Linked DNA regions of Astyanax mexicanus. The protein of the gene in region 2 interacts with the protein of the main gene of each other region in a pairwise test. Links are inferred from orthologs where the notes say so. Each region holds a gene or a part of one and is shown on either strand. Other genes may lie near its edges.

Evidence for each region. The genes of interacting proteins can lie anywhere in the genome.
Region 1: the proteins of prkaa2 (region 2) and E3 ubiquitin-protein ligase CCNB1IP1 interact in binary tests that used the Homo sapiens proteins (3 or more experiments, as listed by UniProt). The two-hybrid records come from large-scale screens. The link is inferred for Astyanax mexicanus from reciprocal best matches to the Homo sapiens genes PRKAA2 and CCNB1IP1.

The regions. Positions count from the first base shown.
Region 1 is NC_064415.1:23,510,791-23,518,968, reverse strand, and holds E3 ubiquitin-protein ligase CCNB1IP1, read left to right. Parts: upstream 1-4,877; 5' UTR 4,878-4,959; coding exon 4,960-4,966; intron 4,967-5,341; coding exon 5,342-5,640; intron 5,641-5,766; coding exon 5,767-5,913; intron 5,914-6,649; coding exon 6,650-6,815; intron 6,816-7,024; coding exon 7,025-7,185; 3' UTR 7,186-7,429; downstream 7,430-8,178. Other genes in the region: si:ch211-212k18.5 (sal-like protein 2), read right to left, coding at 468-543; ttc5 (tetratricopeptide repeat protein 5), read right to left, coding at 8,176-8,178. UniProt on the Homo sapiens protein: Ubiquitin E3 ligase that acts as a limiting factor for crossing-over during meiosis: required during zygonema to limit the colocalization of RNF212 with MutS-gamma-associated recombination sites and thereby establish early differentiation of crossover and non-crossover sites.
Region 2 is NC_064408.1:61,610,457-61,618,593, forward strand, and holds the start of prkaa2 (5'-AMP-activated protein kinase catalytic subunit alpha-2), read left to right. Parts: upstream 1-4,554; 5' UTR 4,555-4,717; coding exon 4,718-4,811; intron 4,812-7,891; coding exon 7,892-8,033; intron 8,034-8,137. Other genes in the region: plpp3 (phospholipid phosphatase 3), read right to left, coding at 125-263. UniProt on the Homo sapiens protein: Catalytic subunit of AMP-activated protein kinase (AMPK), an energy sensor protein kinase that plays a key role in regulating cellular energy metabolism.

The DNA of each region.
Region 1 (8,178 bases), on a different chromosome or scaffold from region 2:
ACTTCTTTCTTTCAGAAGCGAATCTGAATCTGGGGCTATTATATTACACGTGCACTGTAAATGCTAAACCACAAGCTGCTCAGTCCACATCCTCAGAGCAGAAATCTGAGACCAATCAAAACCAACGTGCTAGATCTCAAACAATGACCCCACTCAGTGGATAGAGGAGAACCGCGCACTGCTGCCATTCAGAGCTGCATCTATAAAGGCTAAAAGCCTGTTCACTGAAGCTAGATCCCTCTGAGTACAGACAACAAACAAACGATATTACTCTAGTATATGGGCTATTATTATTACCAGCACGTGCTAATGTTTATTTACGCCATCTTAATAACTTTCCTTAATAACATCTCCATGATTGACATGATTGGCACACCCTGCAACTCTCCCAGCAGGTCCAGAGTGGCGTGCATAAAGACACACAGTGGCTATGACCAACAGATAAGAATCTAATACAGCAGGCTCACCTTGCACTGCCAGCCTCGGGCCTCCCGGGTCCGCGTTCACGAGCTGCTGGGGTCGCTTCTGCTTGCGGCGCGACATGATTCACAGCGAGGGCGCGCGGTGTGAGGGGGGCATCCGCCAACTTTTTCACACGGACGCGGCGGATTCCTAAACAACAAAGGAGGCTCTTCCTCGCCTGCGCTCACCTTGCAGAGGGACGCGCGCGCCGAGACTGCTGTACTGTAAAGTCAGCGTTAATTTACAGCAGCAGCCGCAGCTCGAGCGCGCTGTGTTCCTAAACTAAGCAAACTGAGAACCAAGGTAACTAATAACTAACTGGCGGCGAGTCGCAGACCAGCACAGGAGCGTGACGTCCGCAGTTACTGCGAGATTTGGCGAGTGCGTGTGTGGCTGTATTTCCTCAACAAGTCGCCTCTTTCTCAAACTTGCCCACTGTGCACCCCCCCCCCAAAACACACACACACACACACACACACACACACACAAATACAATCTCTCCTTGTTCTTTACTGACATTTGCATTTCAATGGCGTGGAGCACCGTCTCTTTTTCTTTCTCGCTCTCTTGCATTTCTCACACCACCGAGCCATAAAGCAATTAAACACAGTCTCTCCTTAGCGTGTCTGACAGCAAACTATAATAATTATGTTAGTAGAATCACATAAATCACACCCTCTACCGAGACAAGTCAGGTGTGTTTTATTTTTTTTGTTGAGAAATTATGCTAGAAAAAAAGCAAACTATATATTGAAAAAATATATACAGTGTTTATAAAACATGTTAGCACATTCTCCTTGGCATATCTGACGGCAAACTATAACAATTATTTTAGTAGAAATCACTTAAATCACACATCCTCTAGTCAAGTCACGCGTGTAAAAATATTATTAAATATAAAAAGAAATAATAAAAAATACAGTGTTTATAAAGCAATTAAACGCACTCTCCTTAGTGCGACTCAATATAAACTATATATAATGTCCCAAACACTATTAAAAGCTTTTCAAGAGTACTTCAAAAGCTAGAACCATAAACCTAGCATTTAGAACACTATTATCCAGATAAAACTGCTGCATAATATTTATGATTCATTTAGGGCCTACATTAGTTGACATTTTGTCCTAATATTATGATTCCTTATATGACCATATGTCTCTATTATAATGTTATAAAGTTATACACTTTTGCTTGTTTTTTTATCGAGCTGATATAATGTGTGACTTACCCTCTGAGATGAACAAACTGATGTCTATCTATACAACAGATTTAACAACTGGAACAGGCAAAGAACTAGCTAAGTCATTCAAATGATTCTATGACTAGTCATAAGAACACCTGAGGAATCACGTTTAAAATGCTTATTCCACCTACGTTGAAAAAAATACACTCTTCTGTAGACCACAGGGTGATAATCTTTTTCTTTTTTATTTCATTTTACTTAGTTCTAGGAATCGTTCAACCACAAGTCAGTTTAAGCAGGGAACTGATGTGGGAATTTTCTCAGTTAGTAGGTTAGGTGTTATTGAGTACAGTGTTATATAATTAGGCTAAATGATGATAAACTGAGGTTCTGTACAGAAAGACACAAACAACACTCTAGCTGGAGACAATAGTGTAGAAACTTTAACTTGCATCTCTAACTATTCTCATGATAATGATGATACGATTCTGGACGGATTTGAGTCTGATTGGGGGTACATTATCTAGACCCTGTTCAGGAACTGGCAATCAATGCGATAGTATGCCATATCTTTATAAGTGGGCGAAGTTATGGGAGAATGGACCTCCCGTGGCATCCTCCCAGTGTTGGTGTGTCCGCATATTTGAAGCTCTATTTAAAAGCCACTGAATGGACGGGAATTTCCAACAATGGCGACCTGGACACAGTTGAGTGAGCATCTCTCTCCCTCTCTCTCTGCGCCCCGGGATCCGATGCTGCCTCGCACAAAGCCCCCCTTTCACCTCGCCTGTACTCCCATGCACCACGTGGAGGACGGATGGAGGGAAAAGCCATTTTTAATTAGATGTATCACACACGCCATGCAGCTACAACCGCCCAGGCTAATTTGTACCCCCTGTCTGGCAGAGGCAGCTCCCTGAAACGAGTTCATTAAAGTTACGTTACGAATTGTCATGTAGGCTACATACGAAACACTATATGTCCAAAAGTTTGTGGACACCCCCTCTAATAAATGCACTCAGCTGCTATAAGTTGCACCAGTTGCTGCCACAGCTGTGTAAATACACACACAGAGTTTGTCTAGTCCCTGTAGAGAACCTTTGCCAATACAATAGGACTCTCTGGAGCAGATAAACATGAACCGACTGGCACCATGCCTAATGCCAGGCTTAAGCTAGAGGGGTATAAAGCCCCCCAGCACTGAGCTGTGGAGCAGTGGAACTGTGATCTCTGAAATGATGGTGCTCCATTCAACATTTTTGGGATGAGCTAAAAAGTTGAGGAAGGGTGATGATCATCCAGCATTCTGACCTTCTGACCTCAATATATATCTGTATTGCTCTTCAGCCCCACAGCAATGATCCAAAATCAGCTACACCAACAAACAAAAGATACATTTTATTTATTTATATTTGTAATTATATTAAAAATGAAAAAATAGCAGTTGTCCCAATACATTTGTTTATTTAGTGTGACAGACAATACTCACAGAAATTAGGCCACAACTAATTTTAGTGAGGTAGTTCCCAGTTGTGAACCCAAACATAAAGCATGTTCAGGAGATAAAATATGCCTTATCTCTCTCAAACATGCAACAAAACAGTGTACAAGACCCTGCACATTCTGGAAGGCTGCATGAAAGCAGTATCATACAGTTCAGACATTCTTATAAAATATAAATTGGGAAAAAAGACTAAGAACATTGGCAACTTTGTAACCTATAAGAGAAAATATATATCCTAATGGCTTACCTATTAAAAGTTTGAATTATAAAAACGTGCACACTTCAGAAAACACAAAGTGTTGGGGAACACTTTTAAAGGTGCCCTTACATTAAAAAATGAATATGCTTTTAACTTACCTTGTTTAAGCTTACTAATGAAAGTGTGATATGTGGAACCTGAATACCACAAATCTCAAATACCTTGGGGTTTTATTTCAAAGCAAACTACATACATCCAGCCCACTAGTGAAAGCCTTTTAAGACTAAACACAAAACCTACTTTGTGAGAAGTGAACCCTAGTGGATGCAAGGAACCCTAGTGAACCCAAGGTAAAGCACCTTGAGAGAAGGATTGAGGAAGCACCAAAGCAGGTATGTCTCTGAAGGCCAGGAGGAAGCGCTGCAAAAACAGTGTGATATACAAGGTCCAGAACATCAGTCAGGGGAGAACAGGTAAACTGAGCGGATGCTAGCTGGATGCTATGTTACAAACTAGACCTACTTCACCATTAAGGGCCAGCTATCAGTCTTCCTAAAACAGTATGAGGTATTTTCAGACATCATTAAGAATGAACAGCCAATAAATTGATCAGTTCATCAACAGATCAAAACTAAGTAGTCAGTAAACAAGTAGCACTTAAATTTAATTTAACAATTAAAAAAAAAACTGTGTTAAAAACGATGTGTCAGTGAGTTTGGATTACATTTTTGGGAGAAAAGGAGAATGATGATGCATATAAAAAATAAAAAGTGTGAGTGTAAGTAAAAATATTTGGCCTCAAATCAATAAAGTATTGGAAGTAAAAGCTGTATTATGGCTCTAATGTCCTACTATTCTTCAACTATTGGACTACTAGCCTGCTTAATCGGCTTATATTTGGTAAAAAAGCCTCTAGCGTCACTTCTAGTTCATCATTTAAAAGTATGTCATTAATTTGTTGGACACTACTGGCTATTACATTTTTTTTTATAAAAACAAAACATTAAAGGCAATCAATTTTCATTAGGTAGAAACAAAAGGGCTAAAAAAAATAAATAAAAACAAAGATTCGATTTAAGATTCATTATTTACCTTAGATACAAGTGCAGATTTAATAAGCATGCTTTACAAATGAGTTTAGCTTACTTTAATACATAATTTATGTAGGCATAGGCACTCCCAACATTTTCTGTCCCACTTATGTTTAAAAGTATGTCGAACAGGTCAATATAAGTTAAAAACAAAGTGCATACTATATTACCTTTATTTGTGCGCTTGCTTCAAGCTTCTTTTGTTTCGATATGTTGCATTTTCATGCATAGATGACAAAACTAAAGTACTTTCTTTTCCAGATTTTTGATATATGACTTTGGAGTTAAAGTAAAAACGAAAAACCTACTTAAGTACAGTAACTATTCACATTTACCATGTTACTGTACATTTACTGTAAACTTACTGTACTGTACAACCCTTTTATTTCAGCCAATCACAGAAGAAATCGCAATAAATAGACCCCGCCTCCATTCTCTTTGTTAAAGCACATAAACATAGCAACTAGCCACCAGAGCTAACCTAGCTAACTAGCTACCTTCTAAACGAGCTCACTAAAGAATGTCAGGTAACGGTTAGCCAAAAAGCTCTTACATGATTAAAGACTCAATACATATAAATAATTACAGCCACATATTAAAATACGTTATACGTTTTATGTTGTCAATTAACTATGTTGGTTGGTTTGTTTATTAGGCCAGGCTAACTTTAACTACAAACGTAGCTAGCTATTTGTGTTACTTGGCTAACTAGCTTGGTTAGCTAACTCGTTAGAAACTAGCTAACCAGCTGAGTTAGTTAGCTAGCTGAATAGCTCCAAAACGGCGCTGAAACTAATCGTAGTTCTGTTGACATTTCCTGATATTTAACGTAATTTTATCATAATAACGTTAATAACAAAATTATATAACGTTAATTATAATTAATGTGCTCTTTGTTTTAGTCATGTCCAGGTTCGACTACAGTTTGCTCTGTAATTTCCCGAAATGTCGAGCCAAACTGAGCGGGTTCGCCTGGGTGACGGCCTGCTCCCATGTCTTCTGTGATCAGCACGGCTCTGCAGAGTTCAGCCGGACTCCCGCCATCTGCCCCGCTTGCTCCTCCACACTGTCGGGAAAGCTGGACATTGTACGCACGGAGCTTTCTCCATCAGAGCAGTACAAGGCCATGGTTTTAGTAGGATTACGACCCGAGACAGTCCTGGATATCAGTCATCGAGCACTGGCGTTTTGGACGTATCAGGTTTGCCCTGTATTTAAATTCACGAACCTGAACTGATGCATTGCTTATATACACACACAGACTCAAAGGCTACTTATATCAGCTATTGGGTCAGTACTCACCTGATACACTTATAACGTGCTTCAGGTAAACCAAGAAAGGCGGCTGATGGAGTGCAGTTTGTCTCGGGCTGAGGTACAAGTAGTTCAGATGGAGAAGGTGATTGCTCAGCAGAACCAAACCAGAGAGCTCGAGATAAACGCACTGAGAGAGGAGATTGCATCACTGAACAAGGTTTTTTAACGTTTACTTAATTCAGTTAGCTAATTTACTGTTCATTTTATTCTTAGTCATAAGTAAGAGGCAGTTTCCCATGCAGGGAATAAGCATAGTCATGGACTGCACAGCATTTTAAATAGAGATTAGTCTCAATCCCTGGCTGGGAATAAATTTACATTTCTGACGTTTATGACTCGTGTGGTAATTCCAGTGTTTATACCAAACTATACTACACCCTAATGTATTGGACAGTTTGAGCGGTTTCTAGACAGGTGTAACTGAATCACATAATGCACATAAAACAGTCATTGTGGAACAGCCAGTAGAACAGTGTTCTGCCCAACCCACCCCACTGACACCTATACAAACTCTGCACCCAGCACTTAACTTTATACTGCATCAACTAGACTTTCCCATATTATCCTACATACAGCATTCTGCACCCTGTAGTTCCCACACAACATATTCTGTACCTGCACTTTACTCACAGCTATTCTGTCATCTATTGGACAATCTCCTCACTTCCACAAACACACTCTCTAGATATCTGCACATCTATATGGCATCATATATTTATATATTCAGTCTTACTCAGCATTTGTAAGTATCATTTACCAGAATCTTGTAATGCACTTAATACATTAATGAGTATTCATTTTTACTACATGTGAATTATTTCCTAGTTAATCAAACTCTAGTTATTATTATAAGCACTGCATACTGATTCTGAATATTATCTCCTTATGTCCAGAGGCTGGTCGACTATAAACAAAAGTACAGTGAGGTTTCAGAGCTTTTGATTAAGAAGAATAGACAATATCAGAAGCTTCAGGGGCTGTTTGAGGCATTGCGGCTGCGTCCCAGGTCAGCTGGCTCAAGAGATGGACTGCACCATGCATCTCAAGCCTTTGCCACAGGTCAGTTTAAGCATTGGTAAATTGAAAACAGACAAAAGCAGGTGGGTGTAATAAAGAGGGAAATAAGAATGGGAGCAGATGTGTGATCAGTTGTATTAAAGCTAAAATTTACAAGTTTGGATCATGTTTTACAGGATAATCAATTTTAGTGTAGAACAGAGTAATATATAGTAGATAATGACATTGGTCCTTTTACTTTCTCCCTGTAGGACTGGTTAGACAGCACTCACCCCATGGCAGTCCTCCTTTCCTATCTGTGGGATCAGAGGGTGACAGGCTCTTTTCTGTAGAACCAGAGAGCTTTAAGAGCTTTTTCCAGTTTAATTCTTCTCCAAGAGACAAAAGTAATTCCTTTATGAAGAAAAATTGATTACAGTGCAATAATGTATGTTGTGACATGCATTTGTAGTTTCCCCATATGTGATTGTCCAAGTAATTTACATGTGTATATTTTCCCTATGTTGAATATTTCAGTGTTCTTTGGGTTACCTAGTATGTACAAATAACAGAGCAGTTAAAAGTAAAAAAGAAATCTACAGTATGAATATTCCTAAACTGGTAAAACTGTTATCACATACACATGCAAAGTAGGTATTAGTAAACATTTGAATACATCGATTTCTACCAATTCTTCAATATTTCCACTTACCTTAAGATGTCATATATATGGTGCTTTCTTACATGTTTGTCCACATAATTGTAGTGACATATGCTACGACAAAAAGTCCTGTTTTGTACTGCTAGTTGCCTGGATTATTCATAAGGTAGTAAGAAAAGCATGATTGTGTAATAGTTTCTGTGTGGACACCTTTGTAACAAAACCTACGTTAGGGCAGTGTCCAAGAAAGAAGAAGAAAAAATAAGCCTAGTTTTGGACTATACAGCACTTTGAATGTAGATTTTCAATTAAAATGGAAAAATGTTTACAACTAGGCTTAATTAAAATTGCATACAATAGATGTCTCTGTTGTTTTAAATGTTAGATAAATTAAAACAAACTAGTCACTTACAGGAAACTGATAGTAGTGGAATTTCTGTGTAAAAGCTGAAATTAAAATGCTGTACTCATCAATGTGTCAAATTTCACAAATTACACCAAGGTTTCCTTAATCTCATTAACAACTCTTTGACAAGTGTGTCGGGAGCACCATTGGAAGAGTTTTATTTTCTGGACTTCAAATGCAAAATAGGCAGCAGCAGTATGTTTTACAAACATCCACCAACCTCAGACAATACAAACAAAAATATATTTATATATGTACAACCAATATAAACTAAAACAGTAAACACTATATACAAAATGAAAAGACAACAAAAACACCCTTCCTTTCACCATAGTTCTTTGTTTGCACTGCCCCTTTCA
Region 2 (8,137 bases):
GGCTAAAGCTGTTTTTGTTCTCTTTTTTTTATATTTTAAATGTTTTGTTGATAGTAAATCTATCTAGGTTAGCTAGATTAACAGTGATGAAAAAAGGGGAAATGAGGCAGGTTTAAAGACTCACCTAGGAGCAGGCAGAAGATGTCTAGAGCTATTAAAATTTTCCTCTTGCTCTTGTTCATGCCAGTGCTGCTATTTAACGTCGCAGTTCCACCGTTTCTTGTTTCGGGTGCCATCGCCTTCTCATACATGTATTTTGGCATGTGAGAGCTCCGTCCTCCTGCTGTACAGAAACCTCAGTCCACACGAGCACAAACTCAGCTTGCTCACTCAGTCAGTCACTCAGATAAAAAGATAGATAAATGTAGAAGGTAAGATGGGAGGCGAGGTCCGGCTCGTTTGAGGAGAAAAAGTCCTTAAAAGTTGATATTCAGAGGAGGAGTGAAGTCCTGCTGAATGTTGAACCGTTGAACCGGTGTGTAGAGTGAATAATAACCCGCCTCACGGTCACCGTCTCTCGGTCTGTGGGATGAAGACAGCAGCCCCCCGGTCAGTGTGTGTTTTCAGTCAGTAAGTCAGTGAGTGGAGGAGAACTTGAGTCCACTTCTCTAGTGTTGGAGGGCTTTCTGAGGGGAGAAGAGCGAGAGCGGCGTTTTAAAAAGCGCAGGAGCTTCAACTCCAGTTTTAAGACTCCCTTCCCTCGTCTCCTCCTCCTCCTCCTCCTCCTCCTTCTCCCTCTCTCTCTCTCCGTGTGCAGCAGAGAGAGCTTCAGCAGGCTCAGCCCCCTTCCTCCAGACCCACCTGCATGCTTATTATTATGCTCAGCCCTTACGCTCCGAGCCTGCAGCACGCGCTCCTCCTGCCACCCGTATTCAGGCAGGCCCCGCCCTCTCGCTCTGAGACTGAGTGGAGTGGAAGCGTGTCCTTCTGACTGTCCGCGCTGCGATTGGCTGGTAGCTCCTGCAATGCTGCAATCAGGAGCAGAGTCTCGAATCGCCTAGCCAATCATTGCGCAGAAGGGCGGGGCTACACGGAATACAGGCGGTCATAAAGCACTGAGAAGGTTAGAGACAGAAAGAAAGAAAGACGCCAAACGAAGAGCTGAACTCTTCTATTCTGAACAATATATTCTTTATACCCGAGTTTAACGACGTCTAACAAAGCTCCACACACACTTTTCTTCATATTCTGATGATGAAATTTTAATACATGTTTTAATTCCTTGATCTTATAAACTGTTTTGCTATAAATTGTTGTGAACCCTTTCCATTGTGTGTATGTTTTATTACGGAGCCCCTAAAGTGACATCATGTAAAAAAAAAAAAAAAATAATAATAATGCGTGGCCATGCCTTATTAAGGCATGAAAACGAGATCCTAAGGCGTGGGAACCAGATAATTAAGGCGAGGGAACGAGTTAATTAAATCATAGCCAATAAGGCGTGGCCAAAAGGTCCTTTTGTTTCATAGTTAACAAAGCGAGCAGCTCTCAAGAGTTGACTGAGCCCGTCAGCTTTTAGTGTGAGAATTAAGAGTCCCTCGCTACCTTTAAGAAACTCCTGAAGACTGAGCTCTTCAAAGAGCACTTACTACTTCTAACCTCATTTTCTGCTCCCTCTTTTTCCCTCCTCTATCCCACTATTTCCCTTTGGCCTCCTTTGGGCCCTGTCTTAAATGGGTTTTTTTTTTGTTTGTTTTTTTTGCCTTGAACTTCTATGTCTTCTATTACTAAATGTACATCACTATTGTAAGTCGCTTTGGACAAAAGCGTCTGCCAAATGTAATGTAATGTAAAAAATCTCTTCATACTTTGTAAGTGGTAGTTATGCAGCATGTATTTTTATTAGAGGTGTAAGGAAATATCAATATCAAAATATAGCAATAGTTTGTTTTGCAAATCGGTATTTATAAACAATAAATGACCAAAAAACAACACATTTCTGAATGTTCGTACTGTTTTACTGTTGCAGTATTATTGTGAACCCTTTCTCTGCATTGTGTGTATGTTTTATAAATCACACAATCATATTTTAAAATATATTCAAACTTTGTTGTAAGTGATAGTTATGCAGCATGTATTTTTGTATTGTACAGCATGTATTTTTAATGTATTGTAAGAAAATATCAATATGAACGTATAGCAATATATTGTTTGCAAATTCATATTCAAAAACTCAGTATTGACATTTATTTATTAGTTCAAATGTAAAGATTGAAGTCAGACAGTGGTTCATTTTGCCTACTTTTTAAGCCTCAACCACTAGATAGCAGTGTTGTACTTCATTGCATTGTGTCATTCTTTTTCTTATCTATACTAACGCACTAGTATTTTTAATTGTGCTGCATAATAAGAATGATATAGTAGTTTTTAAAATATTTTAAAATACATTGTGAATAAAATAATTAAACCCAACATGCTGTTGCATTCACCGATATAGAAATGAGGGAGGAGAAGAGAAAGGCAAGAGCAGATAGTACTGTTGTGGTTTCTCTATACAGAACTAGTCAGTGGTATTTTGCCTGAAATGTTCGCCTCTGGTTTTCTCAGTAGTAATCCTACTCCTCCATCTAGTGGTCATAATGGTTCACAACTGGAATATTACTGACACTGCTTTTTATGAAATTATATCAAATTAACTCACTCATTTTTTGGTTACATTACTAAATATAATACACATCAGTACATTTTATCTTCTATACACGCTTATTCTGCATGGTACAACAGATATTATACAAACTCTTTTACACAATCACACAGTTTTCGTAGAAGTTAAAAGTCTTCCAGCTGTAGTTGGAAATCATTTCCACTCTTCTCCACAGATGTCCACTAATATACACAACACAAGGCTGTTTGTTGTTGATCATTTAAAATGTTTTGTATGTTCAGGAAGTCCACCAAAAAGGTTTGAAGTATATTTTGTATCTTGTAGAAGCGTCTTGTTTAGTTTCAGCCTTTTAATGGATAGTCTGATGTTTTTTGTTCCAAGTCCAGGTTCGGTTCACTGTGACCCGCTATAACATTAATACAACAAGCCTGATACTGATTATGTACTCTTTGCGCCGCCACAACATTTCTGATCATGAGAGGCATGGGCTCAACAAGACCTCAAAAGGTCTCCTAAAAAAATCTCAGCATGGAAAAATGAAGAAGCTGATAAAGCTAAGCTAGCACAGGCTTTCCTAAAATACATACATTTTTTTAAATGCAGCATCAAGGAAGGTGTGAAATGTTTAGATATATCACAAATGTTAACACAACCTTAACTAAAAATTCATCATTAGAGCAAATAAGCTATTCACAGGATGTTTAGGCTACTAACAGTGCTGTCTCTACCACAATATGAGTACAGTGATTATAAACCCAGTTTTATTCTGCTGTATACTATAACAACCCTCAGAAGAAGCAATTAGTGTTCACAAATACTGATAAAAATCATTGGTTGTAGGCAGTAGCTAAAATTAGCCACATTGTCACACACTCAGATGGCATTTGGCTCTACAAACACTTGTTTAAAGCAGACAAACATATAGCTCTGTCAGTATGGTTCCAGACCACAGGTAATCATTACATTACATTAGTAATAGATGTTCAAGGTTAAAAAACAGGGCCTAAAGGAGGCCCCAGAAAAATAGTGGGAATCACTATATCAATCACATGGTGTGTGAAGGAGAGCTGGTCATCAACCAGAACACTCAGGTTCTTAGCAACCTTTTTAGGGAGAGAGAGAGTGAGTCAATGGTTATGGTAAAGTTGTGTTGAATAGATGGTTTTGCTGGTATAACCAGATGTTCAGTCTTGGTCCTGATCAGTTTATCATGGAAGAGAGAGGGGGTTCTCCAGCTGTAACACTACATTAGAGGCAGACGAAGATATTTTCAGAATGTGAAAATTCAGAGTCTGACACTGAGTTTAATGTTCAAATAATGGGTATTTATGACAAAAAAAAATATTACTTATTACTGTTACTGGAAATCACTCCTGTTACTGATACTTATTTATGTAACAGGGATTAGTTTTTAGCATACAATTAGCAAAAACATGAAAAATAGCTAAATGGTGGCTATGCTAATATCATGAAGACACTGAGCACATTATAATGATTTTCCTCAAAGTTCTGCCCTGGGGACAGAAATGGCATCCATTCGGTCGAATGGCCCTTATATTTCTTGGCCAATTGGGATGAATTAAACTTCTACTCAGTATTTTACAAAAAAATGGTTTGATTATTTGAATTAAAAGCCCTTAAATGCAATGGGTTCACCAGCAGGGAGGAGGGAGGACTCCCTGTGTAACAAAAAAACGAAGACCCTGTATAGTTTAAAGTAAAAAATGTAAGGTGAACGTGGAGAATTATACATATTTTGGCTTCACCTGCATAAGAGAGCACGCTCATGTTGTAAATAACAGTTTTACAGTTTTTATCTGAAGGGACTATAGTGAGAAGGTGTCTGTGTAGCGTGCTTGTTATGTTGTTGACACCATGGCTCCTCCCCTATTTTCCACGCTCTCTCTCTCTCTCTCTCTCTCTCTCTCTCTCTCTCGGGTCTGACCTATGATCTGTGGGCTTTGGTCGGGGGTCTTAAATTTGAGGCACATTTCTCCGGTCATGCTGATCTGAGGTCGGGTGAACCTGAAGCCGCTCGCGCGCCGGGCGGAGCCCCGCCCCCCTCCTCTCGCCGGCCGAAGCGAGCAGCGAGCTGCTGCCCCGCAGAGTAAAATGGCCGAGAAGCAGAAGCACGAAGGCCGGGTGAAGATAGGACACTACATCCTGGGGGACACGCTCGGAGTGGGCACCTTCGGCAAAGTGAAGAGTTAAGTGTCTGGGCTGTGCTCTGGCTGCTCTGTGAGGCGGCGGGGCTTCGGGTTGTGGAATAGCGGCTGTGTGTGTTTTTACCGTAACCGTTAATAACGTTGAACTTGCCGGCGGAGAGTTTACGTAGTTTACGCAGCGAGTTTTCACGCAGTTCGCTACGGATTGAACGGCTCTGGAGCAGAGAAGTGGCGTAGCGCTGTTGGGGAATAAGCCTTTTTACGAGTGTTAATGCTGCGTTACTCTGGGGCTAAGTTTAGGGGGTTGCAAAAAATGCACTGCACTAAATAACAAAGCCTGCGGGCGCTGTTACTGTACATGCATGGGCTCGTTTATCACAGGATTATCTGCCTAATAAATGCATACCTTGTAATTTGCAGCAGTTGTGAAAATTAGGCAAATTGTGTGTTTATGTCGTAGCATGTTTTATAGCTTTATGTCTGCAATACCAGTGTAGACAAAATAGTAGTAATAGCTAGTTGCAGTAATATTAGTATTAAAATATTACTATTATTAATAATAAACGCTTCTTTCTTGATCTGTCAGTAATATTTTGTCTACGTTGTTTTTTATTTTTATTTTTTCCCCATAAACCTAACTTACATTACAAACAATACTGTTATACTGTCCTAATCTTATAAATAAAGGCATGTTGACAAAACAATAGGTCCAATATGTCCACTGTAGATTTGGTGCTATCTGTGTGTGCTGGACAATGGTGTGTTGATTTCATGCTAAAGGGTTAGTTAATTAGCACGTGAGCTAACAGCTCTTAATGCTGATGCTATTCTCATAGGGTGTGAGCAGCCCCTCAGTGCTGGTAATAAGACAGTAATAAAGGAGATGAGATCAGAGTAAGATAAGAGCAGGAGGACTGGCATGGTGACCAAGCAGCCCTTTATTACCCCCAGCTGGACATCCCATTAAATGACCTTGAGAAGCAGTGAAGGAATTTGGGGTCAGTTTGAGCCACAGTGTGAGTGGCTCCATGAGCTAAATCAGCTCCACACATCCACTCCCCTGCTCTTTAACAATGCATCACAACAACGACACCACACAGTACTGTGCCCCACAGGATCCTGTACTGTATCCATTGTTTGTTAATTAAATGTACTCTTAACTGCCCTTATACCTGAAGCTGTTGTTAAACTCTGTAATTTCATTGTGCTAGTATCTCACCTTGTTTCATTAAAAAGCTCCTTCTGTAGAAACAGACCCGCAAAATAAGACGATAGCAACTCTGCTCTGAGGCAGAAATATGGTGTAATGAAAAAGTGACATGCATTCAAGTGCAGGAAAACCAAAGATTTAAACTGTAAAGTTATCCCCTCAAAGTAGGTCTGTACAAGATATCATTTTAGCATAATCACAATGTTCACATGCACAACAGTCCCATCGCAGGATGCATAATGTCACATTAGGCAAATTTAATTAAGTGCTAACACCCCCTAACTTTCCCAATATACATCTTACAGAGGCAGATTATGTCTGCCTAAAGAAATTATTTTATTCCAATCTTTGTCACAAAGTATATTATTAACATTGTGATACATTGGATCATTGACTTCTTGTGACTTCTGATGAAAATTCCTGTATTTTTTAAGATCACAATATATATCATAGAACAAAAAAATATTGACAGTTTCAGCCAAACTTGTGTATCCCTACCTCGAAGGGTAAAAATATGACATCAAAAGCCTTTAAGCTTTTTTTTTGTGCAACCCATTTAAAAGGGGTTAAATTGTTGCCTTGCAGGAAAACATAATTAAATTACATTAAACATTAATTTAAATAACTACAAAAAGTTAAACTAGATGTTTTCTTATCAATATGTTATTGGTTCTTTTTTGCATCACAGCCAATATTTATTACAACAAAGCTTTAAAATGATCTGTTTTTAATTTAATCAATTCATGTAAGATAAGTATCTCAAAGTAATGATATTACTAATATTATTACTATTATTACTAACTAATATTACTAATATTACACTTTTTGATACTCTTTGAAGCTCTTTTTGTTTGTTATATCTGATACAGCATTTTCTGCTGATATTGGCCTGATACAAATACACAATTCTAATGCTGTGTACCTATTAAACACTTTAAGCTTGTATTCCTGCATCTTGTTGCTGTTGTTTTGTTAATATTTTCTATATATACTGATGATTTTTAGGCATACCGTAAAACCAGAAATTGGACTGCCTGTCAGACAGTGTCAGAGTAACAGAGGCAGTGAGGTAGACTCAGTCAATTCTGCATGCCTGGGGTGTCACTGGAGTTAAATGTCCAACCAGGGACACATTTGTTCACAAGTTGAGGGGCGTGTGTTGCGAAGGACGGCTTACAGGAAAGCACACCACTTTGCCTGAACATACTTTCACTGCATAAAGGCAGGGGTAGTAAATCCTTTTAGCATTTATGTGGTGAACTATAACTATTACAGTTTTTTCCCTGAGCATAGTATTTTTCTTTTACAAAGCTTCTGTCATTATATGAGATATAAATACTGTGTGAGGTCATTATTACTGTTTTGCTGTTAGTTTATACTACATACCAATACCTGTAATTACATAATTACTTACATACACAATTTTATGTTGTGTTTCACACCTGCACATCTGACTTTTTCCATCTTGTTTTGATATTAAATGACAAAATTACTGCACATTTAACAGTAGTTTATCAAATTATATTGTACTGATCTTTTCTCTGCTTAGAAGCACAATATAATTGGGTACTGAATGTGTGGAACTTTTAACTAAATGTCCCACTGAATTCAAAGAGTGTTAAGAGTGTGACAAATAGCATATTTATATTCATTATTTCACAAATAAATATCAATATGCTTTTTGTTATCACTAGTGAATATTGCAGCCTCTAATGGTTAACAGTATAGAGAATCTGTTACTGTAACTGGTGTTATAAAACAAACTGCTGCTGGGGTGTCATGGCACTTGGTTTGTTTTTTTTTGGCTTCACACTGATCTTTCATCAGCTGTGTTATAGGAAACGGTTGGTGGTCTTGTTGCAGCTGAGGTTTCATTGGTTTGGGTATGTTTGTTTTCATTTTGCTTAACAGTTGGAGAGCACCAGCTTACAGGACACAAAGTTGCTGTTAAGATTCTGAACAGGCAGAAGATCCGCAGTCTCGATGTGGTCGGCAAAATCAAACGAGAGATCCAGAACCTCAAGCTGTTCCGACATCCACACATCATCAAGCTGTGAGTGGAAAAAAGTCTGCATGCTCTCAAGCACTTAATATATAGTGAAAGCCTGTAGAGTGCAGAAAGTCCCTCTATGGGCATCTCTAGCCATTTTCCATAAT